4 linked regions of the Canis lupus familiaris genome follow. The protein of the gene in region 2 purifies or fractionates together with the protein of the main gene of each other region. This does not show direct contact. Links are inferred from orthologs where the notes say so. Each region holds a gene or a part of one and is shown on either strand. Other genes may lie near its edges.

What was found. Proteins that work in one complex are often made in the same cells at the same time.
Region 1: the proteins of POLR2H (region 2) and MED26 purify together in Homo sapiens (affinity purification with mass spectrometry; 3 studies listed by BioGRID and IntAct, with this or other methods). This does not show direct contact. The link is inferred for Canis lupus familiaris from reciprocal best matches to the Homo sapiens genes POLR2H and MED26.
Region 3: the proteins of POLR2H (region 2) and POLR3E purify together in Homo sapiens (affinity purification with mass spectrometry; 3 studies listed by BioGRID and IntAct, with this or other methods). This does not show direct contact. The link is inferred for Canis lupus familiaris from reciprocal best matches to the Homo sapiens genes POLR2H and POLR3E.
Region 4: the proteins of POLR2H (region 2) and POLR1E purify together in Homo sapiens (affinity purification with mass spectrometry; 3 studies listed by BioGRID and IntAct, with this or other methods). This does not show direct contact. The link is inferred for Canis lupus familiaris from reciprocal best matches to the Homo sapiens genes POLR2H and POLR1E.

The regions. Positions count from the first base shown.
Region 1 is NC_049241.1:46,379,603-46,383,102, forward strand, and holds part of MED26 (mediator of RNA polymerase II transcription subunit 26), read left to right. Parts: intron 1-1,902; coding exon 1,903-1,977; intron 1,978-2,798; coding exon 2,799-3,500. UniProt on the Homo sapiens protein: Component of the Mediator complex, a coactivator involved in the regulated transcription of nearly all RNA polymerase II-dependent genes.
Region 2 is NC_049255.1:17,408,529-17,412,809, reverse strand, and holds the start of POLR2H (DNA-directed RNA polymerases I, II, and III subunit RPABC3), read right to left. Parts: upstream 2,801-4,281; 5' UTR 2,639-2,800; coding exon 2,566-2,638; intron 1,200-2,565; coding exon 1,116-1,199; intron 1,033-1,115; coding exon 939-1,032; intron 1-938. UniProt on the Homo sapiens protein: DNA-dependent RNA polymerase catalyzes the transcription of DNA into RNA using the four ribonucleoside triphosphates as substrates.
Region 3 is NC_049227.1:23,577,138-23,580,637, forward strand, and holds part of POLR3E (DNA-directed RNA polymerase III subunit RPC5), read right to left. Parts: coding exon 3,436-3,500; intron 3,038-3,435; coding exon 2,955-3,037; intron 516-2,954; coding exon 408-515; intron 1-407. UniProt on the Homo sapiens protein: DNA-dependent RNA polymerase catalyzes the transcription of DNA into RNA using the four ribonucleoside triphosphates as substrates.
Region 4 is NC_049232.1:54,129,950-54,133,449, reverse strand, and holds part of POLR1E (DNA-directed RNA polymerase I subunit RPA49), read right to left. Parts: coding exon 3,468-3,500; intron 1,124-3,467; coding exon 1,065-1,123; intron 75-1,064; coding exon 1-74. UniProt on the Homo sapiens protein: Component of RNA polymerase I (Pol I), a DNA-dependent RNA polymerase which synthesizes ribosomal RNA precursors using the four ribonucleoside triphosphates as substrates.

The DNA of each region.
Region 1 (3,500 bases), on a different chromosome or scaffold from region 2:
CAGGCATGAGAACATTAATCTCATTGTTCGTCGCCATCAAAGCTCTTGGGTACCATGTACACTGTCAACAAGCGGTAGTATTTTGAAAGGAATCTTTTTTCCTAAACGCGGTATGTCTCAAGAGTAGGCTTAAAATAGTCTGTAAACCATGTGGCAAATTGATGTGCTGTCATGAGGCTTTGTTGTTCCATTTCTAGAGCTCATGCAGTCAATTTGGCATAATTCTTATGGGGCCCTAGGATTTTCCAAATGGTAAATGAGCATCGGCTTCAACTTAGTCACCAGCTGCATGAGCCCCCAATAAGAGTCAGCTTGTCCTTTGAAGCTTTGAAGCCAGACATTGACTTCTCCTCTCTAGCTATGAAAGGCCAGCATCTTTTCCCAATAGAAAGCTGTTTGGTCTACATTGAAAATCTGTTGTTGGATGTAGCCACCTTTATCAATTATCTCAGCTTCTTCTTCTGGATACCTTGCTGTGGCTTCTACATCAGCACTTTCTGCTTCACCTTGCACTTTTAGGTTACGAAGTTGGCTTTTCCTTAAACCTCACGAACCAACCTCCACTGGCTTCAGACTTTGCTTCTGCAGCTTCCTCACCTCTTCCAGTTTTCAGTGAATTGAAGAGAGGTAGAGCCTTGTTCTAGACTAGGCTTTGGCTTAAAGGAATGTTATGCTGTTTGATCTTATATCCAGACTACTCAAACTTGGTCCACATCAGCAGTAAGGCAATTTTGCTTTCTTCTGCTTGTTCACTGGAATAGCATTTTAATTTCCCTCAAGAACTTTCTTTGCCTTCACAGCTTGGCTAACTGTTTGGAACAAGAGGCCTTTCTTGGTTTGGGGCTTGGGGCAGGCCTTCCTCTCACTAAGTGTACTCATTTATAGCCTTTTAAAATTATTATTAAAAGGTTTTATTTATTTGAGAGAGACGGGTAGCGAGAGAGAGCACAAGTGGGGAGGAGAGGGAGAAGCAGACTCCCTGCAGAGCAGGGAGCCCGACTTGGGGCTCAATCCCAGTATCATGACCTGAGCCAAAGGCAGACGCTTAACAGACTGAGCCACCCAGATGCCCCCCATTTCTAGCTTTTGATTTAAAGTGAGAGATGTGTGACTCTTCCTCACTTGAACACTTCGAGGCCATTTTGTAGGGTTATGGGTTGGCCTAATTTCAATATTGTTGTGTCTCAGGGAATAGGGAGACCCAAGGAGAGGAGACAGAGGAATGGCTGGGCAGCGGAGCAGTCAGAACACACACAGTATGAATCAAGTTTGCCATCTTGTATGGGTGCAGTTTGTGGCACCCCAAAACAATCACCAATAGTAACATCAAGAATCACTGATCACACAGATCACTGTAACAAATATAACAATGGAAAAATCTGAAATATGATCAGAATTACTAAAATGTGATACAGAGACACAAAGTGAGCAAATGCCGTTGGAAAAATGCCACCAACACTTGCTCAATGCAGTGTTGCTACAGACCTTCATTTGGTAAAAAACACAGAATCTGTGAAGTGTATTAAAGCAAGAACAACAAAAGGAAGTATGCCTTTATTGTTCTTTTAAACTTGGTGTTTTATTTGATAAATCTTCAGCACCCTGCCCCCCGCCCCCATGAGATGGTAGAGTAGAACACCTCTGCCATATCAAGAGCAGATCTTATTTCATGAATGTCATGGGTTTCAGCCATGTGACAACCACTTGGGCAGGCAGGCATGTCCATGGACGGGCTCATGAGCACTGGGTACCTTGTTGGCTCTGGGAGCAGGTAGGAGGAGGAGGCTGCATGGGGTGAGAACTCTGGTGTTGCTTGACTCCACTGGCCCTTGGGGAGAGAGGCCAGAATGGGCTAGAACAGGGAGAAGGGCAGAGGTTTGACAAGCGGCTCTTGTTTTGCAGATCCGGAACATGGTGGCGGTGCTGGAAGTCATCTCCAGCCTGGAGAAATACCCCATTACCAAAGAGGCACTGGAGGTGAGTGTCCCCAGGACCCAATATTGGGTGGGCAGAGCTTGGCCTCCCCCAGCCCAAGTCCTTCGTGGCTTCTTGGAGCCTTGTGCTCTCACTGGCCAGATGAGGACTTAGTAGTGCTGAGTGAGGGGGGTGCATACTCTCCTGGCCTTTGCTGTGCCCAGAAGCAGCATTTTCCTATAGGTACTGCAGGAATCGGGTGGCTTTAGTCCCAGGCCTGGGAGGCATGCCTGAGGGGTTAAGCTCCAGTGAGTGATGCTGGCTCAGGCCCTCCGTTTGCTGTTGCCTTTGCCATAGCATTTCTCCCAAAGAGCTTCCTTGGCATAGTGTCATTTCACTGGCTTTGATGGTCCACAGCCTCCAGGTCAGAAGCCTGTGGGATGGTGCTTTTTTTTTTTTTTTTTTTTTTAAGATTTTATTTATTTATTCATGAGAGACACAGAGAGAGAGAGAGAGAGAGAGAAAGAGAGAGGGGCAAGCAGAGGAAGAAGCAGGCTCCATGCAGGAAACCTGATGCGGGACTCAAGATCATGCCCTGAGCTGAAGGCAGGCGCCAAACTGCTGAGCCACCCAGGGATCCCGGGATGGTACTTTTGAAGATGCCTCCTGTGGCCCTGAGACCCTAAAGTTTAAGGACTAGATTCTTGAAGTTAGATGTCACAAAGGACACCAAATCCTTATGGGTTTTGTATCCAGGAACTCTGTGGTTTAAGGGTCAGTGGGATTAATCAAAGACTAGGGGCCCTTCCCACCGTTTCTGGCTCAGCTCCCTTTTCATGGGGGACTTCTTTCCCAAAAGCATGTCATCGTCTCTCTGGTTGTAGGAGACTCGACTTGGGAAGCTCATCAACGACGTCCGCAAGAAAACCAAGAACGAGGAGCTCGCCAAGCGGGCCAAAAAGCTGCTGCGGAGCTGGCAGAAGCTCATCGAGCCCGTGCACCAGAATGAGGCGGCGCTGCGAGGGCTGGGGGGAGGCACCGGCTCTGCCAACGGGGGTGCTCATAACTGCAGGCCGGAGGCGGGGGCGGCCGGCACGCCTAAGAGCATCCATGACCTGAAGAACCGCAATGACATCCAGAGGCTGCCTGGGCAGCGGCTGGACAGGCTGGGCAGCCGCAAGCGCCGCGGAGATCAGCGTGACCTCGGCCACCCTGGGCCACCTCCTAAGGTCTCCAAAGCCAGTCATGACTCCCTGGTACCCAATTCGTCCCCTCTCCCCACCAACGGGATCGGTGGGAGCCCCGAGGGCTTCCCTGGTACCCTGGACGGCAGTGGGCACTCGGGCCCTGAGGGCGGCCGCCTGGAGCACGGCGAGAGCGACAAGCACAGCGGCAAGATTCCGGTCAATGCCGTGCGGCCGCATACCAGCTCCCCGGGCCTAGGCAAGCCACCCGGCCCCTGCTTGCAGACAAAGGCTGCAGTGCTGCAGCAGCTGGACCGGGTGGATGAGACTCCAGGCCCTCCCCATCCCAAGGGGCCGCCTCGCTGCTCTTTCAGTCCCCGGAACTCACGGCACGAGGGCTCC
Region 2 (4,281 bases):
CGTTTTCCAAACACAATGCCATTTAGTCCTCCCAGCAACCATATGAGCAAGGTGTGATCATCTGCACTTTACTGATGGGGAAACTGAGGCTGCAAGAGGTTAAAGCCATTCAACAAAGAACTGATAGGGCTGAGATTTGAACTCAGTAGAGCTCCAAAGCCCTTCCATCACACCAAACTCTCTCCCAAGACGCAAGGCTCACATAGCCTGGGTCACTTGATGGTCATCTCCTTAGCCATCGATAAGGTACAACCCACAAGCATGTAATTGCTGCCCTGGAAAAACACCTGGTTGTTAGAATTTTTTTTTTTTAAGATTTTATTTATTTATTCATGAGAGAGAGAGGCAGAGACACAGGCAGAGGGAGAAGCAGGCCCCATGCAGGGAGCCCAACCCAGGACTCGATCCCAGGTCCCCAGGACCAAGCCCTGGGCTGAAGGCAGCGCTAAACCACTGAGCCATGAGTCATCCAGGCTACCTGGTTGTTTGAATTCTTTTTTTTTTTTTTTAAGATTTTATTTATTTATTTATTTATTTATTTATTTATTTATTTATTTATGAGAGACACAGAGAGAGAGAGAAAGAGAGAGAGAAAAAGAGGCAGAGACACAGGCAGAGGGAGAAGCGGAGGGAGAAGCAGGCTCCATGCAGGGAGCCCGACACGGGACTCAATCCCGGGACTCCAGGATCATGCCCTGGGCCGAAGGGACTCCAGGATCATGCCCTGGGCCGAAGGCAGGCGCTTAAACCGCTGAGCCACCTGGGGATCCCCATTGAATTCTTAAGTGCAGCAATTTCCTTAAGGTTGCTCAGATACTACTGATAATCATTTATTCCACAAATTAAATAAGGGTTTTTTCCTATACCACTTATCTACTTAGTCCTCAAGCGTATTTCAAGTACTCCTTTCCTGAGAGGGAAGTACTTCACTTCCTCACCTGGAAGGCCTATCATCTGTGGGGTTGTATTCACCGTCATCCAGGGTACCATCTTCATATAATGTACTGGCTATGACCAACCGGAACTTGTCACCTGAAAATCATGGCAATACCAGAGGCTAAAGAACAGCTGAAATGTCAAAAAGCCTTCTGCTATTGTCTGTGTTCAATACTTACCCAAGTCTACAGGGTAAATCTGAATGTTTACATCTAAGATCAGGTCCATTTTGAAAGATTCACTCTCACAATGTAGCCGAGACACTGGAGGGAGGTAGAGAAAGAGTGGCATAGGTAATTGCCAGGCTCTGCAGACCCTGCAGACCCCACTTTGGGGGATTACATGCAATTGAGCACTCATTCGAACCCCATCTGCATCCACTAGCCTCACGTCTGCTCTCAAAGAAGTGCAGACTCAATGAGAACCAGATATGCCAGAAGGAAAGGAGTGAAAACTATGGCAAGTGGACAGAATCCCAGAAAACAACCAAAGGTCCCTCTGGCAATAAATAATATCCAGGTTCTAGGCCTGCCTAGGTGATTAACAAACAACCTGACTTTAGACAAGTTATTCATTCATCCAAAGGTTTTGTCTTTTTTTTTTTTTTATAAAGATTTTATTTATTTATTCATGAGAGACACAGAGAGAGAGACAGAGACAAAGGCAGAGGGAGAAGCAGGCTCCCTGCAGGGAGCCCGACTCGGGACTCCAGGATCACGCCCTGGGCCAAAGGCAGGTGCTCAACCGCTGAGCCACCCAGGGATCCCCCCAAAGGTTTTGTCTCAGGGCGCCTGGGTGGCCCAGTTGTTTATCTGCCTTCAGTCCAGGTCGTGATCCGGGGTCCTGGGATGGAGCCCCGCATCCGGCTCCTTGTTCAAGCAGGGAGTCTGCTTGTCTCTCTTTCTCTCCCTGCCCCTCCTCCTCACTCATACGCTCTCACTCTGCTTTCTCTATCAAATAAATAAATCTTAAAAAAAAAAAAAAAAAAGTTTTGTCTTTCTGTGCCAGCTGCTGTGCTGAGTGGACTATCAGGACTGTTAAGACCTGGTGTTTGTCTTGAAGAACATCTCAGTCTCTGGACAAAAGAAGAGACCCCCAAGGAGGCCCAGTCTGATCAACGGCAGAATAAAGAGCTGTATGGCAAGCAGCAATCCTAATTCAGAGCGGATGTCACAAAGGGCTAGAGATTCTCAGGACAATACAAGAATACAGGCTCTGAAGTCGGACTAGTCACTGTGCAGCCTTGGGTAGCTTACTTAACTTCTCGGGGCAAAATGGGTAAGACACCAACTACTTCATGGAGGCTCCTGAGAGAACTGGGCAGGACGAAGTGTGTGTAAGGTGCACGCTACAGCGCCCAGCAGAGTGGGGAGCGACTGGAAGATGCACGGGGGTGCACCAGCACCATGAGAACGGGCCACCCAGGCACCGGGCCAGCCTGTGTGGAGCCAGGCGGAGTTCGGGAGACGCCGAGTTCCCATCGATCCAAGGTCTCCTGATGGGGATTCCTGAGTCAGGAACTGCCGGCAGGGGCGGGCCACGCGGCGTGGGTGGACCAGGGGCCCACAGGCGTGTCCCCGAGGAGGTTACCCCCTGACTCGGCCGCCCCTACGTCTACCTCCACCTTACCTCGGTCAAACTTCTTGCCCTCCGGGTCAATGTCTTTCACATCGAAAATATCCTCAAACAGGATGCCCGCCATGGTGAGGTGGCCACGAGAGTACGAGAGGGGCCGGGAGCGCGACCACGCCTAGGGGTACGCGCTCCCCCTCGCGTGGAGTAAAGGAGAGAAGGAGAGCGCGCGCCCAGAGAGCGGCCGCAGAGCCCTAGAAACACGCATGCGCGCGGGCAGGCAGCGCCGCCGCCACTTCCGCCGCCTGGGCCTCGGGGCTCGCGGACTTCCGCCCCGAACGACGCCTTCCGAGAGGCCTCGGGAGTGGGGGGCGGGACTCGGGGCCGGGTGGCTCCGCCCCGGGGCGGGGACCCGGTTAGTTCCACCTCCAGCCGAGGCGGCGCGGCGTCTCGCTGTACGCGGAGGCTCGGCTGCGCCCTCTTGAGAGGCCGGGTCGGGACGCCTGGAATGCGGGCGGGCCTACCCCAGCCCGGGACCTTGATCCTTGGCCCGGAGAAGCCCGGCGCAAACCTTCCCCTGCTGGTCTGCGTGCCCGCCGAGGGCACAGTCCACGCGGAGGGCGGACGGGGCGGAACTCCGCCCCCAGCGCGCTGACCCTGCGGGGCGCAGAGCCCAGTCCCCACAGCTGGCACCGAGGCTTCCTAGCCGGGCCCGGGCTGGACCGGGCTGGACCGGGCTGGACCGGCTTGGCCCTGCTGGATGTCACCCGAGCCGGCTCCGTCCCGTTTGGGAATTTGCCATGATGTCACTATGGGGAAGAGGAAAGCCTGCGCTCGTCCCTTCCCCTGGTACAGCACCCCCCTACCACTGCCCTCTTCCCCGGGGCCCCACTCTCTTCCACTCCGCCTCTTCAGCCCGGCTGACGGCTGGCGTTTAACCCCATCACACAGCGCTGCCCCTGCAGCTTGGTACTACCTGCCCCCCCCCCCCCGCCTTCTCCCTTGGACGCTGATCTACGTGCCCCTTCAGGCTGGCACCGTCCGCTCCCACGGATACGAGCCCCCCCTCCTCTTGGGTGCCGCTCCTCTCACACTGCCCCTTCCTGGGCACCGCCTCTGCCTCCCGCGGGCCCCTCCATCCTGGTACTGCGTCCTCCCGCACACTGCCCGTGTCCTGGGCACCCGCCTCTCCCCTAACACGCTCTCTCCTACATTGTCCATCCACCCTGTGCTCACCCCACCCTCTGCTCCATCCTTCTCCAGACCCTGAGAGAGAACACAGATCCCCAGGTGGCGGCGAGACGTCAGCAGCTACTCGAGTTTCTCCTTGGGCCCCGCCAGGGAAAAACGACCTCTGTACCCCCACGCCCGCCTTCCAGGAGCCTCCTCGCCAGCACCTAGACATCTCTCCCCTCGGGCCTCACCCCTTCACCTTTCCTCCCTGTCTCCACCCCGTACACCCCGCAGGCCAGGTTGCTCCAGGTGTGACTTCCTAGAAGAGGAACCCTGGAGAAGAGGAGGAGGGAAGAGGATGAGAGACACGGGAGGGTCTCAGTTCCGAGCATCACGTCCTCACCCCCGCCTTCTGGGCCTAGCGTCCCCCTCCGAGTCCCTCCAGCTTTGCTTCTCACCCTCGACGGAGCAGAGAGGGGCCTTGCGAGGCCCGTCTGAGCCGCTGCCCGCCCCCCCACCCCCACCCCCAGAAGCAAGAGAAGGCGTCACTCCTGAGAGATTGAGCCCAAAGGGTGTGATTTAGACGGCTTTGCCGCCCCG
Region 3 (3,500 bases), on a different chromosome or scaffold from region 2:
AGTTGGGGGCAAGTTTGTCCACCAGGGGACACTTGGAAATGCAGGAAATCATTTTTGGTTGCCAAAACTATGGATGTGAGTGCTCCTGGTATCCAGTGGGTAGAGCCCAGGGATGCTGCTAAGCATCCTGGAATCCATCCCTCTGCAGTTAATTTTTTTTTTTAAAGATTTTATTTACTTATTCATGAGAGACACACAGAGAGAGGCAGAGACACAGGCAGAGGGAGAAGCGGGCTCCATGCAGGGACCCCAATGAGGGACTTGATTCCTGGACTCTGGGATCACACCCTGAGCCAAAGGAAATGCTCAACAGCTGAGCCACCCAGGCATCCCCCTCTGCAGTGATTTTTTCCATGACCAACCCATCCCGCCAAGAAGCAGACAGACAGAAGGGCCCCAGAGCTCACCCTCATTGGCAGCCTCCCTCTCTCGGTGCTTGGCGTCTGCCTTATCCAGGTAGGAGAAGCTCGGCCGAAGCTGCAGGATGCCATGTAAAGGCGTCAGGTGAAGCTCACCTGGCAGAGGAAGAAGGGCTTGGACCTGACTCTAGGAACTAGGGCTAGCCCACCCATCCCATCCTGGCCTTGGCCTGCTGCCAAAACAACCTCACCTCTGCTCTAGCCCCCAGTCCCAGAGCCTTGGGACCACTGGGAATGTGGCCATTCCCAATCCCACCTGGCCCTGAGGATGCAGTAAGCACACAATGGCATATACCTAGAGCATTCTGCTCAAAGCTGCTTCTTTAAGCCTTTAAGGCCTTCCCAACCCCGGTCACCACCACCTCCCTGCCAGTAGCTCACTCTGGCACACACAGGGCAACTCTTCCAAACACAGCCTGCTCTTCCTACCAGGCCCTTGTCAGACAAATACCAAATGATTTCACTCATATGTGGAATTTAAGAAACAAAAGAATGGGGGAAAAAAAGCACACACACAAAAAACCAGACTTGGGGCTCCTGGCTGGCTCAGTCTATAGAACATGTGACTCTCCACCTCTAGGTTAGGAGTTTAAGCCCCACATTGGGTGGGTGTGGAGCCTACTTAACAAAACAAAACAATCACAGAACCCACAGACTCTTAACTACAGAGAACAAACTGATGGTCACCAGAGGGGAGGGGGGTGGGGGATGGGTAAAATAGGCGATGGGGAGTCAGAGCACATGTATCACAATGAGCCCCGAGCCAGGTACAGAATCACTGAATCACTCCATTGTACGACAGACACGAATATAACACTTTGTTCATTAAAACGGAAGTAAAAAAATTTAAAAAAAAATCATCTTCTCACTCTCCATATAATAATAATTTCCAGAAATGTTAAACAGTTTTGTATAAAATTAAACTTTAAATACTAGAAAAAAAATTCTAGGATGGGAGAAAGAATCCTAAAGAACAAGACAGGACAGGCAATTTGGCTACAGAAAAATACAATCACGTTGGGAAGATGGGAAAAGTCCTGCAGATGGATGGTGGGGACGGTGGTACACCAACTTGAATGCCCTCAATGTCACTGAACTATATATACACTTAAAAATGGTTAAAATGAGGGGTGCCTGGGTGGCGCAGTCAGGTAGGTGTCTGACTGGGTTTCAGTTCAGGTCGTGATCTCAAGGTTGTGAGGTCAAGCCCCGTGTCAGGCTCTGTGCTCAGCACAGAGTCTAAGATTCTCCTCTTCCTCTGCCTACCCTTACCCACCCTCCTGGGAGTGTGCACTCTCTAAAATAAAGAAATCTTTTTTAAAAAGTATATTTAACAATAAAAAATAGTTAAGAAAAATGAATGGCCCTAGTTGCAAGATGTGAGACACAGACGCAAAAAAGAAAGATATTTATCTGATAATACTTTTGAGTCTATTCTAGTTTGTTTCCTAAGTGTTCAGATTAGCTTTACTTATTGTTTTATGAACTCTACACTTACTTTCAATGCTTTTACGGAGATATAATTCACGTGCCATGCAAAACTCACCCATTTAAAGCAAACTAGTCAATGTATTTTAATATGTTCCTGGAGTTGTACAACCAGCACTATAGTCAATTTAAGAACATTTCAGGGGCACTGGGGTGGCTCGGCTGTGTTCCGCTCTTGATTTCGGCTCAGGTCATGATCTCAGGCTCCTGAGATTGAGGCCCTGCGCTGGGCTCTGCACTGGGCATGGAGCCTGCTTGGGATTCTCACTCCCTCCACCCCCCAAAGAACATTTTTGTCTCCCTAGATAGAAACCCTGAACCCATCCTCGGTCATTCCCCATTCCATATTCCTCCCAGCCACAGGCAACTACGACCTGCTTTCTCTACAAACTTGCCTCTTTAGGACACTTCATATAAATGGACTCAGAATATGTGGCCTTCTGTGAGTGGCTTTTCTCACTGAGCATCACATTTTCAAGGTTCATGCATGCTAGAGGATGTAGGAGTACTTCATTCCTTCACGTGGCCAAGTAACTTTTAATGGCATGGCACTGTGCAATCCAGGCATCAGCTGACAGAACTGTTTCACTATTATGCTTCTATGATACATCCATGTACAAGTTTTTGTGTGGACAGACATTTTAATTCTCTAGGGTAGATGCTAAGAGTAAAACTGCTCATGCACAAGCACCTTGTTTTGTTTTTTGGGGGGCGGGGGGGTTTGAGAAGGAGGAAGAGGGAGAGAGAGTGCACGATCAAGTGAGTAGGGGGAGTTAGGCTGTGCCTATGTCCCAGGAGGACAATGACCTTGGAAGCAGCATCTCTATCAGGTCAAGATCCAAAGCCAGAAATCCTCAGAAGTGGCCTATTCCAGCGCCCTGACAATGTCACTTCCACAACCAGCCTGGCCCCTATGGGTGTCCGGTATTCGGAGAATAGCAAGCTGAGTACCAGGCTAGAGATAGCCCACCCCATCCCAGCCCCCATCCTGCTTCCCTCCAAGCAGCCTCCAGGAGCCACAGCAGCCTGGCTGCCCAGTGTGGGTACCTTGCCGGTAGAGCGCAGCAGCGTAACGGGCTGTGTTACTAGTGCTCTGGGAGGAACAGAACGTCTGCTTGTCCATCAGCTTCCTGGGAGCATGGGGAGAACAGAAGTCAAGGGGAAGGAAGCTCCAATCTCAAAGCACAGCAGGGATAGCCCTCTCTACCCCAGACACCTTCCAAAGTTCAACACCCAGGGACAGGGCGCAAGGCCCCACCTCAGCATGTGCGAGCCTCAGGAGGGAAGCTGGGGAAGAGAAAACTCAAGACCTGGTTTGTGGCCCAGGGACAAGTAGTAGGTCAAGCCCCCACCCCCATCAAAGGAGACATTTGCCACGGGGCAGCGTTGCACCAGACCCAAGCATGTGAAATTGGGACTCTGGGAGGGAGCCTGGCAATGAGGGACAAGGGCCTTGGTGTCTTACAGGCCTTTGGAAGGCTCGGATCGGGGCCCGTCAGAGCTTGGATGCTGGACCCAGGGAACTCACGAGGAGTAAGTGCTGCTGTCGTCCGCGCAGGCGCCGTCCACATTGAGTGCAATCTGCTCCCCTTT
Region 4 (3,500 bases), on a different chromosome or scaffold from region 2:
ACTGTGTTCATTCTTCTGGAGTTCAAAGCCCGCTTCTGTTTGGTGGTTCCAAAGGCTTCAATGCAAGAATCCATCTGTGCATAGACAAATTTGGTTTGTGTAGGGACAGTCTGGGCACTACTACTCCTAGCTGTGTGACCATGCGGAAACTCAGCCTTTCTAGGCCAGGATTACCTCACCTATAAATCAGGCTAAATCATACCTCTCTATCTCACAGGCTGGTGTATTAGCAGATCTGAAGTACCTGCTTTGGCTAATTTTTTTTTTTAATTTTTATTTATTTATGATAGGCACACAGTGAGAGAGAGAGGCAGAGACACAGGCAGAGGGAGAAGCAGGCTCCATGCACCGGGAGCCCGACGTGGGACTCGATCCCGGATCTCCAGGATCGCGCCCTGGGCCAAAGGCAGGCACCAAACCGCTACGCCACCCAGGGATCCCTGAAGTACTTGCTTTGGAAACTGTCATGGGCTCTTTACAAATCAACAGTGTCTCCATTTGTACAGTGAAAAGCCTGGATCAGAATGAGGATTGGTAAATCTGGCACATAACTTACCATTTTCCAGCCTTACACCCATAGCAGATGTTGCTAATCACTCACTCTTTCCCACTGAGCCTGAAGACAGCCTCACACCTTCTCAATACAGTGCTCCAGGCAGCACTGAAGACTCAATCAATTTGCAATCCTGGAGTGAGATTAGCTTTATAGGAACCACCTACGCTGAAAATCCTGAAGTTTACTCTGTTTTAATGTGAAAGCTTCCAGGCTACAGCCAGAATTTTCTGAAACTTGCATTCAATCCAAAAACAAGTGTTACACTACACCTATGTCAGCCCAGAGAATCAGTTCCAAACACTGGGATGGAGCTGAGTATAGCTGCCCCAGGCGGGAGGACGGCGCTCTGTGAAGCTGAGAAGCCTCCACAGGCAGGCTGACTGGAGAACCACAGACAGAATGAGCTGGGAGCAGCCCTGTGCTCAGTCAGCTCATTTTCCTGATGGAGAAGCACAAGGCACAGAAGGAACGTGAGGCAGGTCCCATGTCTCACTTCTGTCATTCTTACCTTTTCTCTAAAAGTTTTGGCCTGACTCTCTTGTGTCAAGTCGCTCTCAAGTGATTCATCTATCAAGACACAAAACAAAAATAGGAAAAAAGGAAGCTGTAAGGCCCAGATTATAATAGCATTTAATATTTATTCACTGTTAATCTAAGACAGACAGATTTCTTTACTGTAGGACTTCCCAGAGTTTAACATGATGGATCCTATGAATATTTAGTCTGTCGCTTTAGTATACAGTTGGAGGATATGGAGAAGAAATTAAGGAGTCAAATGAAGGGGTCATCTGGTCCAACCTCTTCATTTTACAAATAAGGAAAAAGCCTCCCAACGAAATGATTTGTCCTAAGTCAGTTCACCAGGCAGTGGCCGAGATGGGATTAGAAACCAAGTCCTCGGCTCTTTGCAGTAAATAGTTTTGCCCGCCTTATAAAAGATAAGCAAGCATAAATGTAAGGTATGTGTTACTTACATGAAGCTCTCTTATCTCCCATAAAGTATTCATATAAGGGCAGTATAATCTAGAGGGTAGGAGTATAAGCTCTAGAGTGGCCTTGTCTGAGTTTCAATCCCAGGTCATATAGATAGATAAAGACGGATAAAGGAAATTTATATTTTTATATATACACATTATAATTATATATAAAGGTGTGTGTATATATATATATACACACACACACACACACATCAACATTATGTCCCTGTCAAACTCTGTACCAGTTTCGTCATCGATAGAACCACCAGAGGGTTGTCACATGAATTATGACAATCCTCGTGCATTAAAAGTACTTAGAACAGTGCCTGACAAATAGTTAAGGACTCAATAAATGCTGCATGTGTGTGTACGTGTATATATATGTTGGCTAGAATAAACTAGTATTTACACATTTTTTACCTGTAAAAACAAAAATTTGAGAACAATTTCCTTTGCCTCCTTGGAAGTCAGAAGAGCACTTGGAGGATTATTTATTTATTTTAAAGATTTTATTTATTTATTCATGGGAAACAGAGAGAGAGAGGGAGAGGGAGGGGGAGGCAGAGACAGAGACAGAGGCAGAGGCAGAGGGAGAAGCAGGTTCCCTGCAGGAAGCCCGTGGGACTCGATCTGGGTCCAGGATCACGCCCTGGGCTGAAGGCAGCAGCTAAACTCCCTGAGCCACCCCGGCTGCCCTGGAGGATAATTTAAATGTAGATGTATTTGTTCGCAAAGCAAGGAGTCCTTAACCTACAGACTCTGGACCCCTAGGAGAGTCGCAGATGGGACTCAGAGCCCTTTACAATTATATGCAAAATTTCATATATATTCTTACGTATTACGTATGTTTCTGGAAAGTAGGTCCAGTCCTTCAGATTCTTTCTTTTTTTTTTAAGATTTATTTATTTATTTATGATAGACATAGAGAGAGAGAGAGAGAGGCAGAGACACAGGCAGAGGGAGAAGCAGGCTCCATGCTGGGAGCCCGACATGGGACTCGATCCCGGGACTCCAGGATCGCGCCCTGGGCCAAAGGCAGGCTCTAAACCGCTGAGCCACCCAGGGATCCCCTGGTCCTTCAGATTCTTGAAAGGACTGGCACCACTGCTCTGCAGGAATAAAGCCAGAACTACTGCCTTGGAAGGCATCAGGCAGATCTACTGTGACCCTAACAATCCTTCCTCAACTATACCCTCCCTCACTGTGGTTCTCAGTATTTAAGATTTAGAGAACAGGAGCCCCTTGAGTCTGACCCTCTGACCTATCATTCTGGAAGATCCCACACTCTGGCCCTGAGCATCATAAAATGCCAAAGAAGAGAAGCAGTACAAGCTCTCTCACTAAATTAGGGGAAAAAATGGATCTCCTCCTAATTAGAAAGTATAGAGAGACTTCTCATCAACATGAAAAGGGCTGTCTAACCTCTAAGTAACTCCCATCTTCTCTAAAGCCTCTACTCCAGGGCAGCCCCTGAGCCACCCAGAAGGCAGACGCTGAGCCACCCAGGCGTCCCCCTCACCACCTTTTAGTCTCCCTCCCCACCTTTTAAAGATTTTATTCACTGATTTGAGAGTGAGAGACCACAAGCACAGAGAAAGAGGGAGAAGCAGACTCCCTGCTGAGCAGGACCCTGAGATCATGACCTGAGCCAAAGGCAGACGCTTAACTGATCCACCCAGGCAACCCTGCTCAAATGGCTTTAACTGATTATTTTCTGATCTCAAATCTGTAAACATAGCAGCGACAGGACCTGTATCTGTTCTGCTACATCCCTAGCCACTAACTTGTGCCTGGAGCAAAGTAAGTTATCAATAAATATTTGCAGGAAGGCACCCTTTTAAAAATAACAAATGTGTTTTACAAATCAAAACCAAACTCATCCAGCAAACCTAAAACATGCAGTGTTCTTGCAAGCCTTCGTGACTGGGTCCTACCTGCAAACAGTGGCTGCATGTTGAACAATTCAG